Linked DNA regions of Lonchura striata. The protein of the gene in region 2 purifies or fractionates together with the protein of the main gene of each other region. This does not show direct contact. Links are inferred from orthologs where the notes say so. Each region holds a gene or a part of one and is shown on either strand. Other genes may lie near its edges.

Region 1 (11,633 bases), on a different chromosome or scaffold from region 2:
TTAAGGAAAAAAAAATATATAGGTAAGTAATGGTTTCAGTGCAATCATTAAGCCAGTTGTTTTAGCACAGACTGGATTTATAAAACTCCCATACTGTGACCAGGATCAGCTCAAGGAATCAGCAAGGCAAAGTTTTAGTGCAGAGATGATGAGAAACTGTCGCAAAGTCAAAGGGAACAAGGATCTCTCAGCCAGGAATCAGCAGAGACTCAGTGACAGCTGTTCCATGAAGAGCAGGTGGATGTTGCACTGCAGTCTACAACTCCACAGAAAATTATGACAGTCAAGCACACAGCTTTCTTGTTAGCACAAAGAACAGAAAGGAATTTATCTCAAGAGTACTTTGCTCTTAAAATATTGAAACAAAAGTGTATTTGCACTGTGAGGTGAATAAACTCAGAGTGAAATGTTAAGGAGAAAGGCAAAGCATGGCATCTAGGATGCTCCGAAGACTATGGGATTTAATTAATTCATTATTACTACATGGGGAAAGACCTAGCCAAGGGCAACTGTTCCTCCTGGGTCCAAGACAACCACAAAGGATGTGTCAGCACTGCTGTGAACTGACTCAGCAAAGGTGGTGAGGAGGTGACAGAACAGCAAACAGAACATCCTGCAAATAAATTCCCCTAGGAGTGTAAGGAAAGGGAATGTCTATGTGCTGTACCTGATACTTCTCCCACAACACAGAAATGAGGAAAGGAAGTTGTGGCTGCTCCATCCCTGGAGATGTTCAAGGTCAGGCTGGATGGAGCTGTGAGCAATCTGGGCTAGTGGAAGGTGTCCCCATCCAGGCCAGGGGGGTGGAATGAAATTATCTTTAAGGTCCCTTCTAACCTAAACTATTCTGTGATTCTCTGAAGCAGCCTAAGCTCCCTCAGGAAAAGAAAAGGGAAACTCTACCCCAGTACTGCCCTCTTAAACTCTTTTACTCTTTCATACTTCCCAGATGAATATACACAGGATGAAAAAAAACCCAAAACCTCCCCCACCGCTGTATTTAGCTCAGGTTTTCATAGCTTCTGACTCTGGTTTCACATGTTGCTTTGTAAGAAAGAATTACACGGGTCTGCAACACAAGACCACAGAAAGTTTTACAATTTCATTTGCACCAGTCCAGTCCAAATTACTGCCACTGCTCTTTCCAGCTGGGTTTTTTCATCTTTGCACATGAAACTGAAAGATCTCATTGTCTGAAATGTGCTGCTGTGGGAAGAGAAGCAGCACTTATAGGTGTGAACATGGAAAACTATTTCCACTGATGTATCCACCATGCTGTAGTCCACTTCCTACACTGGCATTGCAAGAATAAAGACTGACATGTCTTTATCAGTTGAAAAGCAAAATCTCTTTGCTAGGAGACTGCATCTTCAAATAATTCAGCATGTGGAAGCATGCCATACTGCAGACTTCCATGGGAATCTGCTGGTAAAATCTCTTCCTGCAGACTGGCACCACTGTAACAATACCTGTTACTACCGTCAGCCTTCCTGCAAAACCAACTTTTCAGAAATTTGTGCTGAAAGGTGTCAGCTCATAGCACCCCTTTTTGGGCTCAACCATCTGCGCTGCTCTTGCTGCTATTTTGAAATCCACCACAAAACATCCAACAGGCAACATGGATTTATCATCAAACCAGCAGCCATCAAACAGACACAGAAACACTGAATACACTGAAAAGAAACTGTCATGGGGCAGAAACCATTAAAAGTTTAAATTATACCCCAAAATTGTGCTTTCTATGAATGGGAACATCTACAATATTAATGTTTCTCTGCTACTTGTCCTATTATTTAAAGTAGAAGCTCTCCAAGGGACAAATAAGCTCTGTATTTTGGAACCACAGCACAGACTTGCAGCAGTATTTTAGGAAAAAATAAGATGTCTATTATTAACTATTGTCAAGATACCGGCCCACAGCTCATTACTTGGGCTGCTTAAAACCCCCTCTTTTTGGCATATTTCACTGCACAAGTGGTTTAAACAGAAAGCTCTTGCTGAACAAGCAGACTTTGGGCTTCTAAATAGCCATTTAGCTAAGCACCATTACCCTGCACACAAGTCATGAGATGGGTGGCCAGCAAGCCAGGTTGCCATCCAGCCCACGTGTGCATGCTGGAGTACAAACAACAAATGAAGAATTCATTTGTAATGCTTGATTTTCAAGCTCCTTTCTGCTTTGCTCAGCTGCTGCAGCACACGCTGCATTAAAACCTACTCAAAGGTCAAACGGGAGAATGAAAATTTTCACAATAGCCTGAATTTTCCAGAGTCTGTATACTTTAGGACAGAACAAGAACCAACAAAGCCAAGCCACCTCAAATGGTTACTTGCAGCCCAAAGAGGAAAGAAATTACCACCTCTCTTAATGAGAAATGTTATTTCCATGGTGAAGCTCACACAGATTTAACTTAGGCTTGATGTGACAAGTATTCCCACTTAGAAAAGCCAAGTAATGCGCTTCTAAAACAAGTATTTATGTGCGAGCAGAAAGAGATCTGGGAATTTTACACCAGGTGAACTTACTTTGGACCGAGTTCTTTTCTGATTTTTCTCGCTGAATTTCTCCTTCATTTCCTCCAAGAGATGCTTCAGCTCTCTCTCTTCTGATGTGCCCAGGTATTTTTGGTTAATGTGCAGGTAGCAGTGCCACTTGGCCGACTCAAACCCCCAGTGGCAGGTCCTCTTGTCTGGGGATCTGTGTGAATGCATCACGAAGGTCTGGGGTGAGAACATCCCGTAGCATTCCAAGCACTGGATACACGGGTCATCCGGGGCAAGGTAGAACTGAGGTGCAAACAACCCCTGGCACTTGCCCAGGCATTCATGCTCTACTTCGAAGGCACTGCCAGTCTCTTTCAGCTGGGCCAAGGTGTTCTTACCAGGGAGGAAACCGCCACTTTGGGGGAAAGTGCGAGGGCGCAGTAAAGCATTGCATAGTCTCTGAGCGTCCGTCAGCGTAATGAGCCCACAGGACGGAGCATTGAACGGAAGAATTCCCAAAACCTTCAGAATGTGCAGCTGGTCTGAAGTGCACCTTGAGCAGTAGATATAGAGCTCATCACACACCGTGTTGATCTGCTGCAAGGAAAAGTCTCGGAGAACCGAATTCAATACTTGAGGCAGGCAAAGTCTTTTTTCTCCTCCGACTTTAAAACAAGAGATGGATTCCCCCTCCAGCAGGGTCTGCGTGAGCTCCGTGGAGCTGTCTGGAGGGATGAGCAGCGGACCAGAGAGGACTTGTGGTGATGGGAGAGGCAGGAAGACAGTGGGTGACATACTTTCCTGGGAATACCGAGCTGAGAAAGCCGCAGGTCCACCCAGTGAACTCTGGCTGCTTAGGTGGAACTGTGCCAACGTGTGTTTCAAACCTGGATTTAAACTCAAAGGCTCAGATAGTGAAGCACTGTTTGGCTTGGCGGTTTCCGCATCAGCCTCCACCGGAGCTTCATCATAGTCATCCAGGTTTTCCTTCTTTATTGTTGGCAATTTATTTATTACTACCTGTACTTTGTTATTTACATGCATTTCAGTCATTGCTTTTTTCAGTGGAGGACTCCCATCCTCTTGGATCCTGCTTCTTTTTTGGTCTGAAACCAGACCTAGAGGGAAGTTTATCTGTGGGCTTTCCATTGCTGAACACTGAGCTTTAATTAAGCCAGTCTTGAATGTGCATTTTCTTACTTTTTATATAAAAAATAGTTTCATGTGATCTTGGAGCTGCACGCTCCTTTCCCTAAAACATCTTCTTCAGCATTCAACAGTAAAAATTGTAACCCATTTTGTATGTAATTCTGTAAAACTACTAACGAAGGGGGTTACACTATTTTCTTAGCTATTTGTTAAATTTCATAATATAAAAACCCCAATGCAATATGTATACAAAAGGTTTTCTTCATACCCTAGCCACTACTTTACACAGTAGTCTTGTTCAGCAATTTAGTAAAAAACGATGCGTTGATGGGTGTTCATCCTCAATCGTTTTTTTTTCCTTTAAAAAATATACTGTCTTTTCAAATAAGTCTCTATTTAAATAATAAAATAGAAAAATGGGCTCAGTTAGAAGAATGTCAATCTCAACGAAACTGATCCAAAACGTAGTTTACGTTGTATGAAAATTTTATTCAGCACTTTTAGCTCCCAGAGATCAAACACAATCTTAAGGGCTTGCTTTATTGTGCTGCCAGCTTTATGATTTCACCACCACCACCGTGACAGCTATTATGGCAGTTCACAAATAAATCCTAAAATTAAAGGCTGATCCAGACCGACGGCAAAAACTAAACGTCCCTAGAGAGTCACCTTTCGCCCAGATGTCACTGGCGTGTGTCAGAATTTTCCCAGCCCAAGTTATTAGTAATAGAGGTGAGATCCAGGCCATGGGCTGGATGCATGTCGTGTGCTAGCACAGAGTTCTGCTCGTCCTTCCTGATAACCTGTGAAAGAGAGATGGCTGATCACAAGCAATCCCAGAGTTTGCTCTGTACCTAAAGGGGTAAAAAGGACTGGAGAGGGACTTTTGACACAGGTGAAAGTGTGACAGGAGTCAGCGGACGAGAGGGAATGGCTTTATACTGAGAGAGGGAAGGTTTTGATTTGATACAAGGAAGAAATTGTTCTCGGTGATAGCAGTGAGGTAGTGGCACAGGCTGCACAGAGAAGCTGCAGCTGCCCCATCCCTGGAAGTGTCCAAGGCCAGGTTGGACAGGGCTTGGAGCAGCCTGGGATAGTGGAAGTGTCCCTGCCCATGGCGGGGTGGGGGGGCTGGAAGGAGATGAGCTTTAAGGCCCCCTGCAGCCCAAACCACCGGGATTGCCTGCCAGAGGCAGGGTGCATTTCCCAGTAACTTGCGGAACACCGGGACAAGCCCCCGACCGATGAGCGATACCGGCGGGGGAGGGGGCGGTCCGGAGCGGCTCTGCCGGCGTGCACGCCCGAAAGGAACGGGCGCTCCGGCGAGCCGGGCACCGGCCCCCACATCCCGGGCACCGACCCCTCGCCCCGCGGCCCCTCCCGGGACGCCGCACGCCGCCGCTCCCTCCCGCGCCGTGACTCACCCCGGCCCCGCCGGCACCGCTCCGGGCTCAGCCCTTCCCCCTCCCGCCGCCGGGCTCGCCCCTCCGCCCTGCCCGGCTCCCCGCCGTCCCCGGCCGTACCGCGCCGCTCCGCCGCCCCCGTGTCCCTCCCCTCCTCCCAACGCCGGTACCCCGCTCCCCTTCTCCCCGCCGCCCCCGCGCCGCCGCTCCCTCCCATCCCCCGGCGGACGCTCCCGCCCTTCCCCCCAGGGCTCCGCCGCCGCGCTCCCCGCCGTTCCCAGCGAGCTCCCCGGCTGCTCACCCGGCGCCGCGGGGGCTCCGGCGGCCGCGGGGAGCGGAACAGGCGCCGCGCTCGCGCCGCCCACCCGTGACCTCACTGCGGAGACCGAGACGGCGGCGGCGGCGGCGGCGCGCGGGCACGAACCCGCCGGCGGCGCGCGCCGGCCCCGCCCACTGTCTGGGGCAGCGGCGGGAGCGCCCGCCCGCCCCTCCCCCGCCCGCCGCCGCCTCAGCGCCGGGAAACCCGGCCGGGCCTTCCCCCCGCTGCCGCCCGCGGGGAAGGCGCAGGAGGAGAAATAAAAATAAAACAGATCTTTGTGTAATAGACACTAAAAAGTGAATACGCATGGAAAAGTGTTGTTTCTGCCCGGCTTCCCCGCAGCCCGCCCGGTCAGAGCCTGCCCCGCGCCGCCCTGCCGCCGTTCCGCCGTCGGCGGCCGAGAGGGGCCGGCTGAGGGACGGGACGGAGCGGCAGCTGCAGCTGGGGCGGGGAAGGGAAGCGGCCATGGCAGCAGGGGAAAAGCCGGGCGCTGTCGGGGACCCGTCGGGCGTGTCGCCCGCCTGAGGCGCGGCGGCGGCCCCGGGCAGAGGCCGCCAGCGGGGGGATCTCCGTGACCGCCCCTTAGTGACTGCCCCGCAGCGAGGCGCCCGCAGAGGATCCCTCACTGACTGCCCCTCAAAAAGATGGTCCCTCAGTGAAAGCCCTCGAGTGACTGTCCCCCACGGAGCGTCCCTGGCAGGGGTCTCACAGTGCTGTCCCCAGCGAGGGTCCCCAGGAGGGCGGGCTGTGCTCGGGCGGGCAGGCGCGGGGAAGGCGGGCCCGTGTGAGGGGCCCCGAAGCCGTGGCACGGACCGCTCCCTCCAGCCACAGGCTCGCGGGAGATATTTTGGGAAACGAAGCGATCGAACCGCGGAGAGGCGGGGAAGATGCTCTTCAGGGACAGCTTAGTCGCTGTACAGCTCGTTCATGTATTACAAGTTTCTTCCGCCTGCAAGAGGCCCAAAGCTTTTCAGTTTACATCTTTGTGAAGACAGCGCTTCAGCTGGGATTACGGCGCGATCCAATTTGCCGTTTCCTTTCATCCCACACAGTTACATATTTTGATGCGAGTACAAAAGCACGGCACATGAAAATGGGGCAGCTGTACAAGCACCAGGCACCGCTTCGCACCGGCCGGCGGGATCCCTGATCCCTTCCGCGCCGTTCCCTAATGCCGTCCCAGGAGGATTATGGCACAGAACCTGCCCCGCTGATCTGCTGACAGAGGCGTTTGGTGCTCTTTAATCCTTGATTTCGCACCTTTGATATGCTCAGGTTTCCTCTGGGCTGGGCGGGGTCGCTGATGGAGAGGCCCTTGAGCATCACTTCAAAGCTGCTTCAGCAGTCACCTCTTTCTCAAACCACCGCATCGGTTGCGGTGTCTGCAACAATATCTACAATTTCGTTGGATCTGAGTGATCTTTAAGGCCTTTTCCAAGCCAAACCATCAGGGTTTTATAGAAAAGTAAACGTTTTTGCAAAGAATACTAACACCCACTACTTATTTATTAAGCAGATATAAGGTCTGTTTAAAAGCCACAACAATGTGGCAGAAATAAACAAGATTTCTGAATGCACCAGCTTTTGGAGCTGATTCTGAAAAGGTATGAACCTATGAGGGAATTGTATAGACATTCTAGACATTCCTGTCTGCTTCACCCTCTTGGACTTTATGACCTGATTGTTTTAAAAAAAGCCTCTTTGAATACCAATCAGTGAAATGCACTATGTCACAATCCCTTTCAAATTTACTGAAGAAAATGTAATGTCTAACATTGCAGCTGGATTGATCAATGTCTGTGAGGAAGGCAGCATATGTAGGCAGATATTTCATCTTTTATTAGACGTGCTGATGTCATGGAAGCTTAGGATCCAGTGGCATTGTGTAATTTGTTGATTTTTTTCAAGTTCTGCCGCAGAAATGTTCCATTTCAGGTTACAAAGCCTGGTAACTATTGTGCTGTAATGATAGTGTTGCTATAGAGCTACAATAATCAGGCGATGGAAGACAAAGTTTGTAGGTAGAGGATTGTCTAAAAAAAGGTGTTAGCTCTGCCTATTTCTACTGTGGACTGTGAAAAGCAGTTCTGAAGACACTGCATAACTAAAACCTGAGTTACAGACTTTTGCAAGTGGTAATAAAGTGCACTAATAGCACAGGAGGAATCTTGATTTGATTAATAAAGTGTCTGAATTTTAAAGAAATGCTGAGGCTCTGGGGAAGCTCACAAACTTCCCTGATGCACAGTCCCTGAAGATACACAATTTAACTATGAACTATGCCCTGGAGAGCACAATTTAACTGTGAACAAAGACCATGCATTTTCGTCTCTGATGAGATGATATCGTACTTTTTAAAGAAAAAAAATTAGTAGTCATGTTTAATAGTAAGTTGTAACAGTTCACACTTAGCTAATCTGTCATAGGAGGTTTCATTCTTGCAAAACAGATATTGTATTACAGGTTGTGTTTTAAGCAGAAAAAGTTGATAGATTTTGGCAGACACCACATCCTGCTGGACAAGTCACAGTGGGGACAGTGCACAAAACACTTCAGCTCATGAAGGACTTGAACTATTCCTCTGATCTAAGAGTATAAGCCCAGACACTTTACTCATCCTTAGAAATGAAACATGGACACAAGAGATTCCTGCTATTTATGCCTGGAAAAGCCACCTCCCACAAAAGCTGCACAGACCTGGGATGTAGACACTGCTCTGCTTTCAGTTATTGGTGATTAAATGGTAAGAATCCACCTTTCAAGTATTCAGTCCAGATCCCTTTATTATAAGCAGAAAAAAAAAATTAAAATAAACACATGGGGGATCTCTCTGCGAAAAAATGCAAGATATGGTAAAATCTGTTTTTTCTCAAAGGGGCTCCAACCCCTACCTTCTCTCTTCCCAGGAAAACATAATTCTGTGGTCAGTTGCAGATACCTCTGCTGCTTCAATGCCTTACACCATCCATGCTGAAGTGAGGACGCTTGCTTAGCACTTACCAAGTGTATGTATAGATTATCCAAGCTATCAGCTTCCTCCATAGAGTGCCTCAGCATAAACAATTGCTCAGACTGAGGCGAGAGCAGCTGGGCACCCAACAGAACAGAAACAGGGAGCGTGCGTGGGGGGAGGTTAAGCATGGAAGATATGCAGCCATCTGCAGCACTCGCCAGGATTGCCGAAGCACACCCGTGCTGAGGCAAGACAAAATCTCTTTTAAAAGATACTGAAATACAGAAATTAAACCACTGCATCTGTGCCATCACCCTCTGTGTCAGAAATCCCAGAATGCAGGGGAGGAGTTGAAGAAACAAAGAAATAAATCATGCAGAAGTAAGTGCAGCAGACAAGAGCGTTGCTCTGAACTCCAAATCCCAGCTCTGGCAGCTGAGATGATGTACGAACTCCAGCGCTGAAAGAGTCCTTGGATGAGCAGGCTAAAGTAACATTTTGTATTTTCCTTTAAGATTTCTATCTCTGTGCAGAGGATGGATGCCTCACTGCTTTGTCTCATCACTGGTGTTGGAAGGAAAGAACCTACAAGGATGGTGTTTTTCCAAAGGACTAGATGAGCATGAGGCTAGGGAATGATGCTGGAGCAGAACCTGCATTCTCAGACATGTTTGGTAAATGCAGGGTAAGAAAGGCATTTCTTGGGTTGCTGTGGCCCATCCCAGTGCAATTTTCTACAAGAAATGAAAAGATCAGAACAAGATTCCCATGGGATATGGACAGTTTAAAAGGGTTAGACGATGATCCCAAGACCAGCATTTCACAGTATTTCTCTGAGATTTCTCTGAGGTTGAATATAAATGTTTTATTTAACGTAAAAAGTGTGCACAAATAAAGGAAATGATTACACAACAACGTTCAAGACGATATTCCACATGAAACAGGAAAATAGTAGTGACAATATTAACTAGCAGAGCACCCATAGGAATCCAACTCGTGTACAAAAAAGAGGTTACTCCACATAAATACATCATGCTTCTGATGCAGACACGTTCTCCAAAAAACAAAAGCTACTGCACTGGACTGTTTACACCTAATGTCCCTTCTGAATATTTATGACAGTTTCTGTATGCTTAACAATGAAAAATAATAGTAAATATCATGGCACTTTGGAGAAAATTAAAGTTTAAAAATAGATTTACTGTAATTTAAGGTATTTGTCACTGCAAGATTCTTAATGGTTAGATATGTAAATAGAAAAAATAATTTTTCTGTGACATTACACAAAAAATTAATTTTTGCTTTACTCTTCTGTGATGAATGGCAGAAATGTCATTTCTTACATAAAGCCATTTCCTTTAATACCCTGTAGGAAATTATGCCACTGTAGAGGCAAGGCTTTTCTTGTTTGTTTTAAATGATTCCCAGGTTTAATATCAGTTATGCCCTGATGTCTAAACTGATCATGTGGGTACAGGAGTCAGAGGCTAAAAAATCACCATTTTCAAACTGCACATAGTGCAGTTCACTTGACCCTATTAGCTGCTTTGTAAAGGAAGGTTCACGCTCATATTTTACATTTGAAAAGATACAACTTTAACTTTAGGAAACCTGATTTTTAACAGTGAGGAGGTTCCACACTTCCCTGAAACTGAAGCCCATCAAATCACTTATCAGTTTTGGAAACTCAGCCCAATAACAAGGAGTTTCTTATTCACATTGCAAAGAAAAACAATAACTAAATCTCATACCATGACACCAGCGTGGATTTGTGCAATCTCTCTGCTTGCAGCTGACATGGAAGTGAACAGACATACACCAGAAAACTTGTGCTATGAAATTAGTGTTGCCATATGAGGATTTTCACAGAAAGACACTGGCCAAGCAAGTCTACTAAAAGCCTCAGATAATGCTTGCCAACTTGTGCTTACAGATTCTCAGATCTGCTTCCAGTGACACTTATCTTCTCTTACAGCTCTTACATAATACAGATTCCTTTCCTCAATGTCTCTTAATCCCTTTTCCCCAAAACAATAATAAAAAAGTGGTACGTTTGGCATTCCTTCAGCCCAACACATTCATAACTATAGCTTTAGCATTAAAAATAAGAATTATCTGTGCTGTATATTACACTGCTTACTAACATGAAATGTAAGAAACACATCTCTTAGTCCTAATCCTTAGACCCATTCTTTCAATTGCTTTCCTTGAGCCTGCTACCAACATTTCAGGTTTGATTGTAAGTACAGATCACCATCCCTAAGGGCAGAAGTTAAGGGAGTCATTGTGGACAGCACCTATTTTATTCTAGATATGCTTTTTCCACTGGCAAAGTGGAACTCATTCTCAGCAGTGTGGCAGTAAGATAAAAAAGGAACTGATGCCCTTTTCCAGGCTGGGCTGTACCGTGTGCACTTCTGATGCAGTTAAGACAGCAAGTATAAAAGCAATAAATAGCATGAGGTTCAGTATTAGCTGCCCATTACTGCTGAATTACTCTGTACAGATTTTAACTTCTCCAAGAGTTAACTGAATTTTTAATTAAACTGACACTTGATGCCATGTCCAACCCTTGCTGAAAGGTCCAGCCTAGGAAGGCACTCTTTGTATCAGTGTACAATTCCTAGTGTGAGTGCTGGAGCAAAGTCTACCAATTCTGATATGGAGTTAATAGTCTCCTTCATGGTAGGATCAATATTCTCCATGAAAGCAGCCAGTCTTGACCTATTCAGTGTAAATATCTGCTCTCCTTGCTGTCTTCTCAGTCTGAAGGGCATGAACAAAGCTCTAATTTCTATATGTAGAACAGGGAAATCAGATGTTCAGAGAGAAGAGATTTGGAACTACAGAAGTGGTAAGTTCTTGCTCATCTTGCTGAAAAATCTGAAATCCTTGAAGGATAATTTACTATGTTACCTTAATTTACTATGTTACCTGATGCAATTTGTTTTCATTAAGCACTGAAAACCTTTCCTTGCTCAGAACACTATACTGGCAAACTATACAGTCAGAAACTTTGTTCAGTCAGGAGCCCCAGAAACCAGCTCCTGTATTAAAATTCAAATTTGGCAAAATTGTTAGAAAGTTCTAACATTTTCAATCTGGCAGCTGAAGGTTCAGCATAACAACTATCCTGGACAACAATCAATACAAAAAGAAAATTCACACACTAGGTGGTGGCAAGGGCAAGATGTTGAGTTACTCATTTTATGCAAGTGCATCCAAATGGAGAGATGTTTATCCATGCAGAAAAAAATGGAGTAACAATTGGCACAGTTCAGAAATGGAGAATTCAGACACATTCCTCAGCTGACATCAAAAGAGG
Region 2 (11,507 bases):
GGTACCGCCCGACCAAGAACTACCTGAGCTACCTGCCCGCGCACGACTACAGCGCCTTCGAGGTGAGCTGAGGCGGCCTGGCAGCTCCCAGAGCCCGGCCCGGTGCCCCCATACCCCGCCTGGCCCCACTCCGTGACCTGGCTGGGACAGACCCTGCCTGTCCCCGTCCTTGCCCCGTACCCCTCTCGTGTGCCCGTACCCCTCCTGTGTCTCTCCGCCCCTGCCCCGGCTGTCCCTCCGCCGTTATCCGTTTGTGTCCTGTCTCCATCGTGCCCGCTTGTCTCATGCACTGTTCCGCCCCTGTCCCTCACTGCTGCCTTCCCCGCAGACCGAGATCATGCGGAACGAGTTCGAGCGCCTGGCGGCCCGGCAGCCCCTGGAGCTGCTCAGTATGAAGAGGTGAGTGGGGCCGGCAGGGCAGTGCCTGTCCCGGGTGAGCCGTGCCCGGTGTCCCGGGTGAGCCGTGTTCAATACTTCGGATGAGCTGAGTCTAGTGTCCCAAGTGAGCCATGCCCGATGTTCTGGATGAGCTGTGCTTCATTTGAGCTGTGCCCGGTGTCTCGGGTGAACCGTGCTCAGTGCCCTGAGTGAGCCGTGCCCCAGTTGAGCTGTGCCCCAGTTGAGCCGTGTCCCATTTGATCCATGCCCGGTGCCCCAGGTGAGCTGTGCTCCATGTGAGCCATGCCCCATGTGAGCTGTGCCCTGGGTAATCCATGCCTGGTGCCCCAGGCGAGCCGTGTCCCAGGTGAGCCGTGCCCAGTGCCCCGGGTGAGCCATGCCTGGTGTCCCAGGTGAACTGTGCTCCATGTGAGCCGTGTCCTGGATAATCCGTGCCCGGTGCCCCAGGTGAGCCGTGTCCCAGGTGAGCTGTGCCCGGTGCCCCAGGTGAGCCGTGTCCCAGGTGAGCCGTGTCCCAGGTGAGCCATGCCCGGTGCCCCAGGTGAGCCATGGCCCAGGTAATCCATGCCCGGTGTCCCAGGTGAGCCGTGCCCGGTGCCCCGTTCCCTTTGCAGGTACGAGCTGCCCGCCCCCTCCTCTGGGCAGAAGAACGACATCACGGCGTGGCAGGAGTGTGTGAACAACTCCATGGCACAGCTGGAGCACCAGGCCGTGCGCATCGAGAACCTGGAGCTCATGTCCCAGCACGGCTGCAATGCCTGGAAGGTGTACAACGAGTAAGGCCTCAGCTGCTCTGCTGAGCACCAAGTTCTGTGTTGATTTCTGTTTGTTTATTGGGTGTAAATCCGGTGGGGATCTCTAAAATGTAGCCTGGAATAGATGAAATCCTGTGAGAGAGCTGTGAGTGAAAGAGGAGGCTGATCTCAAAGCTGTCTCTGTGGCCAAGAAACAGAATGTGTTTAATACATCCCACTCTTGAATGTTGTGGGTTATTGTTGATGCTGGTGGGTGTTAATTAAGGCTAGTGATAGCCTGTGAAGAAATAACTCACTAGTGGAAATGGAGATGAGTTACTACAGATCCTGGGCTTAGCCTGGAGCCATAATAAAGCTGCTGCAAAAGCTAAGAAGAGGTTGTAGAGTATGGCTGCAGGAAGTACTGGGGTTAATTCAGAGAGAGAATGTTAATGTCCACTTTTGAGAAGGGTTGGCTGAGCCTTAGATAGAAGAGTAGGTCAAAGGAATGCCAAACGTAGCTCAGGGAGAAGGCAGAGGGTTCCTGAGCTCAGGAGAAGGGAAGCAGGTAAAGGATCTGCTGGCTGGAACAAGGTGCTGCAGGGGCTTGTTGAATCCTGAACTCTGAGAAGTTAAATGTCAGATGAAATGGGGCTGAAATTTTAGCAGTTGTGTGTTTTTAATGCTTTGCTTGCATTCTGTCATCAGGCACCTGGTTCATATGATAGAACAAGCCCAGAAAGAGCTTCAGAAATTGAGGTGGGTCATTCTTATTTATATTTTTGTACTGAAATTGGAAGTGAACCTTTCTCTCCCCCCAAGCTGTACAAAGGAAGATGTGTATGCTGGCTGCTGCCATGGTCACAGGGAAAAAGACCCAGTAAAAACAATGATGAAGAAATGTGACCCTTCCCTCCCCAGTCCCATTCATCATGTCTGTTCTACTCAAAATTCTGTGTTTGATTTGTTTAAATCTCTGCTCTGGATTTGTGGAACCCTCCCTGAAATGTAGCAATGCTTTAATTTCACTACTGATAATTTAGTGTGCAATTGTCTCTGTAAGGACATCTTCCCTGATGTTGGGTTTGGCCTTTTACTTTTATTTATCTCAGGGCTCTTTGTGAGCCCTGTACTGAGATTTGTCCATCTGGATGTTGTCATTACAGTCCTGGCTACACAAATATTTTCTGGCAGTACTTCTAGGGATTGAGTGTACTTGGAAATTAGCAACAGGTACTGCAGATGCCAAAGAAATGAGGAAATAAAAATGCATCCTTTTCTCCCCAGGAAAAACATTCAAGACCTGAACTGGCAGAGGAAGAACATGCAGCTCACAGCTGGGGCTAAGCTGAGAGAGATGGAATCCACGTGAGTGTTGATATTTCTCGGTTAACCCTTCCACAGCTTTCTCCATTGCTTGAAATTTACTTGAAATTCTTCTTCCACTTGAAATTCAGTGATCCTTTGGTGCTGCTGTAGGATACTGTTGCTTTGCAGGAAGTGTTTTAAGGTATTTGTAGTTTGGTTCCATATTATATTTACTGAAATTGAGTGAATCAACAGGTAGGAAAAGAGTGTATTTATTAGCTGCTTCAAATTTCCTAAATTGTCTTAAACTGTTCTTTATCTCAATATTGGCAGTTGGTGGATGAGTCTAGTCATTACATTTTTTGTGTTTTCAGGTTTAACAGGGTTAAAAATTATTCATTGTCACTTCGGTTGTTCCAATGACCATTGATGTCAACTATAGCATTATTTGGTGTTTCTGCTAGATTTGAAGGAATGGTTGTCTTTGATTTTTAACCAGAGGACGTTTACATAACACCTAAAGGCTCTTTTTATTTCTTTTCCCTTCCAGGTGGGTCTCTCTTGTCAGTAAAAATTATGAGATTGAACGAACTATTGTGCAGCTGGAAAATGAAATTTCACAAATCAAGCAGCAGCATGGGGAAGCAAACAAGGAGAATATCCAGCAAGACTTTCAGTGACTTTATCCTGACTTATCTTAGTGCTGCATGTGTCAAAAACTGCAAACCTGACACTTTGGAGATGCTGTGTCTGTAGACACCTCTAGTTGCAGATGTGTGAGGTGGTAAAAGTATTTCCATCATTTCTTTTCCTTGTTTTAAATTCTAGAAAGAAGCAGGGTGGACTCAAAACATCATATTTAAGTGTGTCACAGGCACCACTCAATGTACTGTGAATTGTTTAACTTTTTATATACTTAAAGCAGGAGCTGGTGTTGTCATGTTTTCCCCTATGCCTTTAATAAATCCTGTTTTGCTATTTCTCTGGTTTCTGCTTCATGTCTAAAGCCTGGGAGCTGTGGAGGAGGTGGCTGGGCCAGGTGAACCCTGAGAATCTCCTGCAGGGGAAGTGGTGGGAAACTGGAATTTGGGCTGGGGAAGTCTCTGCAGCACTGGGCCGTGCAGTGCCCACTCTGGTGCCACTGTCACTGCAGTGGGCCCCAGCTGGGTAATAATTAGCACTGGCTGCATGATTCCCAGAAGGCTGATCAATCTCTTTATTATATTATATGATTATTAAGAAAGCCATTGCTTTTATAGACAGTTATGATACAGATTGACCTAATTGGTCCTCCAGTCCAAACACCGTCAGCATTGGCTAATTAAGAAACCACCCTTTGTTAAACAAATCTCCACAACACATTCCACATGTTCACAATACCAGTAAGATAAGAATTGTTTCTTATTCTCTGATCTCACAGACTTTCCCCAGGACGATGCCTGGGCAAGTTGTGTTTCTCTCTGTAGCCAGAGAGCTGCTGCCACATGCCACCACCTGCACTGTTCCTCATCCCAGGGCATAATTCCTGATCATCCTGCTCCCACTGGCTGTTCCCTGTCCCCATGCTCTGACTCCCATCCTGATGCACTGCTCCATGCCTCAGTTTCCTTTTCCCTATGCTGGTGTGCCATTCCCCATCCCACTGCTTGACTCATCTATCCCAGTGTGATATTCCCAATCCAGGTCTGCTGTTTCCTGTCCTGGTGCCCTGTTCCCCATCCTGGTCCATTATCCCCCATCCTGGTGCCCTATACCCATTTCCCACATCCCCATGCTTTGCTCCCTATCCCAATGGGTTATTCCCCCATCCCCACTGCATTATTCCCTTTCCCAATGGGTTATTCCCTATGCCAGTGCCCCATTCCCCCACCCCGCTGCAGTATTCCCTTTCCTAATGGGTTATTCCCTCATCCCCAGTGCAGTATTCCCTATCCCAATGGGTCATTCCTCCACCCCAGTGCATTATTCTATATCCCAATGGGTTATTCACTATCCTGGTGCATTATTCCCTATCCCAAAGGGTTATTCCCTATCCCAAAGGGTTATTCCCTATCCCGGTGCATTATTCCCTATCCCAAAGGGTTATTCCCTATCCCGGTGCATTATTCCCTATCCCAATGGGTTATTCCCTATCCCAGTGCCCCATTCCTCCACCCCAGTGCATTATTCTATATCCCAATGGGTTATTCACTATCCTGGTGCATTATTCCCTATCCCAATGGGTTATTCCCTATCCCAGTGCCCCATTCCTCCACCCCAGTGCCTTATTCCCTATCCCAAAGGGTTATTCACTATCCCGGTGCATTATTCCCTATTCCAATGGGTTATTCCCTATCCCGGTGCATTATTCCCTATCCCAATGGGTTATTCCCTATCCCGGTGTCCCATTCCCCCACCCCGGTGCGTTATTCCCTATGCCGATGGGTGATTCCCCTTCCCGGGTATTCCTCACTGGGTATTCCCCGCTTCACGCGTTATTCCCCGTCCCGGTGGGTTATTCCCCTCCCGCAGCGGTTATTTCCCAGCCTGTGTGTGTCATTTCCCGTCCGGAAGGGTTATTCCCCACCGCGCTGCGGTATTCCCCGTCCCGATGGGTATTCCCCAGCCCAGCGCGTTATTCCCCAGCCCGGTGCCCTGTTCCCTATTCCCGCTGCGTTATTCCCCAGTCCGGTGTTCTGTTCCCTATTCCCGGTGCCCTGTTTCCTATTCCCGGTGCGTTATTCTCCAGCCCCATGCTCTGTTCCCTATTCCTGGTTCCCTGTTCCCTATTCCCGGTGCGTAATTCTCCAGCCCAATGCCCGGTTCCCTATTCCCGGTTCCCTGTTCCCTATTCCCGGTTCCCTGTTCCCTATTTCCGGTGCCCGGTTCTCTATTCTTGGTGCGTTATACTCCAGCCCCGTGCCCTGCTCCCTATTCCCGGCGCCCGGTTCCCTATTCCCGGTTCCCTGTTCCCTATTCCCGGTGCGTTATTCCCCAGCCTGGTGCCCGGTTCCCTATTCCCGGTGCCCTGCTCCCTATTCCCGGTGCCCTGCTCCCTATTCCCGGTGCCCTGTTTCCTATTCCCGGCGCCCGGTTCCCTATTCCCGGTTCCCTGTTCCCTATTCCCGGTGCGTTATTCCCCAGCCTGGTGCCCGGTTCCCTATTCCCGGTGCGTTATTCCCCAGCCTGGTGCCCGGTTCCCTATTCCCGATGCCCGGTCCCTATTCCCGGTTCCCTGTTCCCTATTCCCGGTGCGTTATTCCCCAGCCTGGTGCCCGGTTCCCTATTCCCGGTGCCCGGTTCCCTATTCCCGGTGCTCCGTTCGCCATCCCCGTACCCGGGGGCGTTCCCGCGTGGGCGTGGCCACGCCCCTGCCTCCACCACCGCCCAATAGGATCGCACCCCAGGGCTCATAGCCCCGCCTCTCCGTGACGTCACGACCCGCCCTCCCGGCCGCGCCGTTGCCGCGGGAGCGCGCGCGCGTGCGCGGCGCCGTTCCCGCCCGGTCCCGCCCGGTGACGCGGTGACGCGGAGCGTGCGCGGAGCGGGGTCGGGTTCAAAGGAGGAAACATGGCGGAAAACAAAGGAGGCGGCGGCGGCGGGGACGCGGCCGCCGAGGCCGCGCCGGGCGGCGGCGGCGGCCTGGAGCCTCCCGCCGGCTCGCCGTCCGCCGCCGCGCCGCCCGAGGAGCGCGAGAGCCCCGGGGCGGCGGCGGCGGAGCGCGGCGGCGGCGAGGCCGAGGCCGAGGCGGCGGCGGGGCCCGGTGCGGCGGCGGGGCCCGGCCCCAGCCCGGTGCCGCCGCTGACGCCCGCGGCGCCGGGGCCGTTCTCGCTGCTGGACACGTGCGCGGTGTGCGCGCAGAGCCTGCAGAGCCGGCGGGAGGCCGAGCCCAAGCTGCTGCCCTGCCTGCACTCCTTCTGCCGCCGCTGCCTGCCCGAGCCCGAGCGCCAGCTCACCGTGCCCGTGCCCGGCGGCGCCAACGGCGACGTGCAGCAAGGTGAGCGCGGCGAGCGGGCTCCGCCGGGGCCGCCCGCCGCCCGCCCGCCGCAGCGCGGGGCTGGCCCGGCCCGTCGGGAGCGCGGCGTGCTGCGGGAGGCAGCGGCGGCGGGGCTCGGGACGGTCGGGCTCGGGACGGTCGGGATCGGGAGGGTCGGGATCGGGAACGCAGCGGCGGCGGGGCTCGGGACGGTCGGGATCGGTAGCGCCGATCGCGGCCGGGGGTTTCCGTCGCGGGCGGGAGGGAGGGAGGGACGCGGACCTGTTGGAGCGGGCAGAGTTGCTCGGAGGGTGGAGCAGCTCCGCTCTCGGGGAAGGCTGGGGGGATCGGGATCGTTCAGCCCGGAGAAAAGAGACCCTTCTCCCTCTCTCCAGGGAGACCCTAAAGCCCTTTTCGCTGCCTAAAGGGAGTCTGTAATAAAAATGGGGGCAGTGTTTTTGGCAGCACCTGTTGCGATAGGGCTGGGGATAATGGTTTTAAACTGGAGCAGGATCGGTTTAGATTAAGTGCAAGAAAGAAATGTTTACCGTGAGGGTGTTAAAACATCGGAACAAATTGCTCAGAGAGGCGGTGGAAACGTTCAGTGTCAGGCTGGACCAGGCTCTGAGCAACCTGCTCGAATCTAAGATGTCCCTGCTTGTGACGGGGGGGTTGCACTAATGACCTTTAAAGGCCCTTTCCAACAAGCAAATATTCTGTCATTCTCTCCTTCTGTGTGTTTTGTTTTGGCTCTCAGGTGACACAGCGGAGGCGAGTCGGGAAGGGGGTAGGCAGCTGCTGGGGTGAAACGTGTCTGGTTAAATTGAGATTCACTGTGGCAGGATTACCTGCCCAGGTGGGAACGCTGTGTGCACTGCACCTGCTTTGCTGTGCACTGAGATAAAACCTTGCCGTGCTGTTTGTCAGCTCTGCCTCTACGGAACTTGTACCAGGGAACAGGAGTACGCTGCTCCTTCTACCTGTTCTTAGCAGAACCACAGCTTGGGTTTGAGTTTTCTTTTCTAATATGTGTTCAGGGATGGAATTGAAAAGCTTCGGGAGCTTTAGATGGGGTGACTCATGGGCTGTGGTGTACAGAGCAAAGCAGGGCCCTGGTAAGTGGTTTTGCAGGTCCTAAATGGGCTCTATGGTCAGGGAGACCTTGTTTGGTGACATCTTTGCACTCAAGCCCTTCCTGTGTTCCCCAGTGAAGAAATTAACCTGGCACGGTAGAGATATTTTTCATCCAGACTGTTCAGAATTCCATATAGGATGTGATCTTAGTAAGTTCACTGGTCTTAAAAAAATGATGTATTTAAATATGGTTTGCCAATGCACTCAGTAAAGCACTCAGATGGTCTTGCGATCTGTGTTTTTAAATTCCAGATTCTACATTTTGTGTTAAATCATAGAGTGACAGAGTGATTTGGTTTGGAGGGGGCTTTAAAGCTCATCCAGTCCCACCCTGCCCTGGGAAGAGACAACTTCCATTGTCCCAGGTTGTTCCAAGCCCCATCCAGCCTGGCCTTGGACACTTTCAGGGATCCAGGGGCAGCCACAGCTGCTCTGGGCACCTGTGCCAGGGCCTGTCCACCCTCACAGGGCAGTGATATGCCAGTGAAACACACAGAACTTGGGAAGCAGTGTTTCTTTTAATTAGCAGGATTATCTTGAGTCCTGCTGTGTCTGTGGGAGGTGTCCTCCCCACAGGTGCGGGAACCACTGTGTACAAACTGGAATATCACTTCTTGTTGTACACATGTTAAGAATGTTTGTTGGTGTGCTTTGGTGTAGAAATAGATCATGTATGGACTGTTGGAATAAAATGTTTTGGGTGATGTGAGCAAGGTGCAGGGGTCTGGAGCATCTTTGATGTCAGGAAAGACTGTGGGGCTGAGGCTGTTTAGGCTGGAGAAGGGAAGACTGAGAGGGGATCCCATCAATCCATAGGAATATTTCCAGGCTGGGGCAGAAGAAGGTGTCAGGCTCTTTCCAGTGGTGCCCAGGGCAGAACAAGGAGCAATGGCCATAAATTCTAACACAAGGAGTTCCACCTGAATGAGAAAGAAGTTCTTTCATGGAGGGTGGCAGAGCCCTGGAGCAGCTGCCCAGGGAATGGGTGGAGTCTCCCTCTCTGGACACATTCCAAACTCACCTGGACACATTCCTGTGTGTCACCTGCTCCAGGTGGCCCTGCCTCGGCAGAGGGCTGGACTGGGATCTGATCTGCAGAGGTGCCTTCCAACAGAGGTGCTGTTGTGGGAGTGTCCTGTAGGGCTGTGGATCCAGCTGTGGTGGCATCTCATCCTGCACCAGCACAGGAACTGGCAGCTATATCCTCATGGCTCTTCTTGTTCCCTGGGTATTTATGGTATTTAATCCTTGTTTCCTTAGGGAAATAGCAAATGCTTTTGGGCAAGAATTTGGCTGGAGTCAAATATTTCCAATTTCTAGAGGGAATCTCCCAGGGGACTTTTAAAGAAAAATTTGTTTCTTTTATATTTGGTGCTTTCCAGTTGGGATGAAAAGTACACCCTGAAATACAGTAGGACTGGCTCATCCTCAGCTGAGGATGGGCCATGGACCAGCAGAGGCATTTTTGTGGGCAGCTCTGTGCACCTTGAGAGTGGAATCAGTGGAGTGGCATGGGAGATGGTTACCAGCAGCTCAGATAGAAAATGGACATTCTGAGCCTCCTGAGAAGCAGCACAGTGCTTCGTCACGCAGGTTCCTTCCCCGTTCTGGCAGTCACAAAGTGTACTTCCACTTCTGCTGATTCTCAAGTTTCCTTCATGACGAGCAGGTGCTCTTTCATGAAGGAAGAATGAAGGAGAAGTGGTGCCTGTAGCTGTACCTGAGGCAGGTTGCACGTTGCTGCAGGCTCTCACTGCTGCATCGTGTCCCTGCCATCTTTCTGCATCTCTTCACATAAACCAGAAAAGTACAAATGATATTTTTCCTGGTTGCTTTCTTAATTAGTTTGGGAGTTTGCTCAGTGAGAGCTGTCAGGACTTAAAACAGTAGAATATGTGTATTTATTGGGTAAAAGCTGTGGAAATGGAATGGGAGGTTGGTGCCCACAGGGCAGTTCTCTGAGTGGCAGCACCTCCCCTGGTGCAGCTCCCTCTGCCCTCCTGGAGAGAGTGATGCTGGGCCTGGGTCAGCATCTCTGCTCCCTTCAGAGCCACTGCTCAAGAAGGCAGAAGAATCATCTCAGTTCCTAAAAGTTAAAGAACCCCTGACTAAAGCTTAAAACAATTATCTGAAGTTGTGGTTTGCTGTATTAAAAACAAGTTCTTGGTGGGACATACCTATTTTGCTGGTGAAGAAGGTTTATTTTGCTGTTGACTACATTTATGTAGGGGAAAAAGAGAAGAGTCTTGTTTCATATATTTAAAGCATATGCATTTGTTTAACATGAAAAGTGGTATCTCATATTCAGTTTAATTTCTTAATTGGTTAGGGGAATGTGCATTTTATTTGGTGGATAGATGATTTTGTATGGTGTTTCAGCAGTCCAGCTGGACTTGTTCTTTCAGGTTGAAGAGGTTACAAAAAATGCCTGCATTTGTATCACTGTATTCTGAAAAAAAAGCTGATTTCTAAGTTATTTCAGGCTGTAACAGATACTGTAAAACAACTTTTTCTGCACCCACTGCTGCTCCTGCTCCTGGAGGAGAGGTTGTTTTGTGGTTTCACTGCCTGGATGAGATATTTACAATCTCTCTAAAGAAGATTATCTGAGTAGAGAGAGCTTAGGGCTCTCCCAGCTCCTTGGGAATGTCACAGTTATGATTAGGCTGAAAAACCAAATGAGCTGAAAACCCTCCACAGTTGGTTGTGTGTGTAAACCGAGGAACAAAACATTTACTACCCAGAGCTGTGATGTACCAGAAACTGGTTTGATGTGCTGAATCCAGCTCCTGCACCCAGTGTTGCTGTGTTGTATTAATCACACCTGAATTTTTTTGTTTTTTTTTTAATTTGCTGTGAGAGGAGGACATTAAAGTTCTGATGTGTATGAGGATGTGGCATGTCCCTTACACTGAGTTTGGTGGTAGATACTGTATTTTCAGTCAAGAAGAATGAAAATTCCTGCATCAAATAAGGTTCTTTAAGCTGTGTAAATGCAGCATCTTAAGTTTTATTAAACTGGATGTGACTAGACATCACCTGAACTCTCTTGATTCTTTACTTTTCTTCTGTGTTCATAAGTGAGGCTCATGAATATATGCTGGAGCCCCGCATGAGTCTGGAAATGCTCAGTTCATAATCTGGGCTTACTAAAAATCTTGCTATGAAACTTACATTTCTGTCTAAATTAATAGTGTATTGTAAAATATTTCCATCAGTGAACATTAAGGCATGTGTTATTTTTATAAAAATTATCTGTGGCAGCTGTAATTTTTTTTTATTATTAAATATAATATATTGTCAGTTCAGTGTGTGATAATTGCCATAGAGTCAAGGATTGTTCAAAAAACAAAAAAACTGAGTTAGGAGTGGACCTTGAAAGCAGGTAATTTTTAAAAATGTATTTTTAATCTGACAGATTTCAATCTGATTGTATCACTCCCTTGAACTGTGAGGATTTGTTTCAAGGTCTAATCACTGAGATTAGAGCAGGTTTTGATGTATGGCTGTGCAGAAACATGCTTGGACCCTTGCAGCGCTAAGAGAAATAAATATTATGCACGTGGAGTTACTACTATTGGAGTTGTCACCCAGTAAATGGGACCTGGCAGAGATTCATTCCTGAGAGGGCTGGTGCCCTGCCAAACCAGAACGGAAGCTGGAGTTACTGGATTGCACAAGTGCTTGCAAATATTTCCTGAACTGGGAAGTTTTGTTGTCATCATGATGCCTCGAGAAGGCTGAGCTAGAACAGAGACAGACAGAGTTAAAAAATAAAGTAGAGATTTATTAAAAGGCCTCGATGGATCCACCTTGGGCAGCACAAGAGCCCAGCCAGGGCTACACCCAAGATGTACCAAAATGGTCACAAAAGGGACAATGGGCCACGGGGTCTCTCACTTTTATAAGTTCTGCTCCATTTGAATATTGGAGTTCATTGTCCAATTCCAGCTTTAGCCCATCCAGTCCCATCCTTC

Evidence for each region.
Region 1: the proteins of TRIM33 (region 2) and SKIL purify together in Homo sapiens (affinity purification with western blotting; 4 studies listed by BioGRID and IntAct, with this or other methods). This does not show direct contact. The link is inferred for Lonchura striata from reciprocal best matches to the Homo sapiens genes TRIM33 and SKIL.

The regions. Positions count from the first base shown.
Region 1 is NC_134612.1:23,033,339-23,044,971, forward strand, and holds the start of SKIL (ski-like protein), read right to left. Parts: upstream 5,448-11,633; 5' UTR 5,338-5,447; intron 4,437-5,337; 5' UTR 3,634-4,436; coding exon 2,527-3,633; intron 1-2,526. Other genes in the region: PRKCI (protein kinase C iota type), read right to left, coding at 11,601-11,633. UniProt on the Homo sapiens protein: May have regulatory role in cell division or differentiation in response to extracellular signals.
Region 2 is NC_134632.1:1,999,575-2,011,081, forward strand, and holds the start of TRIM33 (E3 ubiquitin-protein ligase TRIM33), read left to right. Parts: upstream 1-5,990; coding exon 5,991-6,417; intron 6,418-11,507. Other genes in the region: BCAS2 (pre-mRNA-splicing factor SPF27), read left to right, coding at 1-62, 329-399, 1,014-1,175, 1,842-1,892, 2,421-2,501, 2,992-3,121. UniProt on the Homo sapiens protein: Acts as an E3 ubiquitin-protein ligase. Promotes SMAD4 ubiquitination, nuclear exclusion and degradation via the ubiquitin proteasome pathway. According to PubMed:16751102, does not promote a decrease in the level of endogenous SMAD4.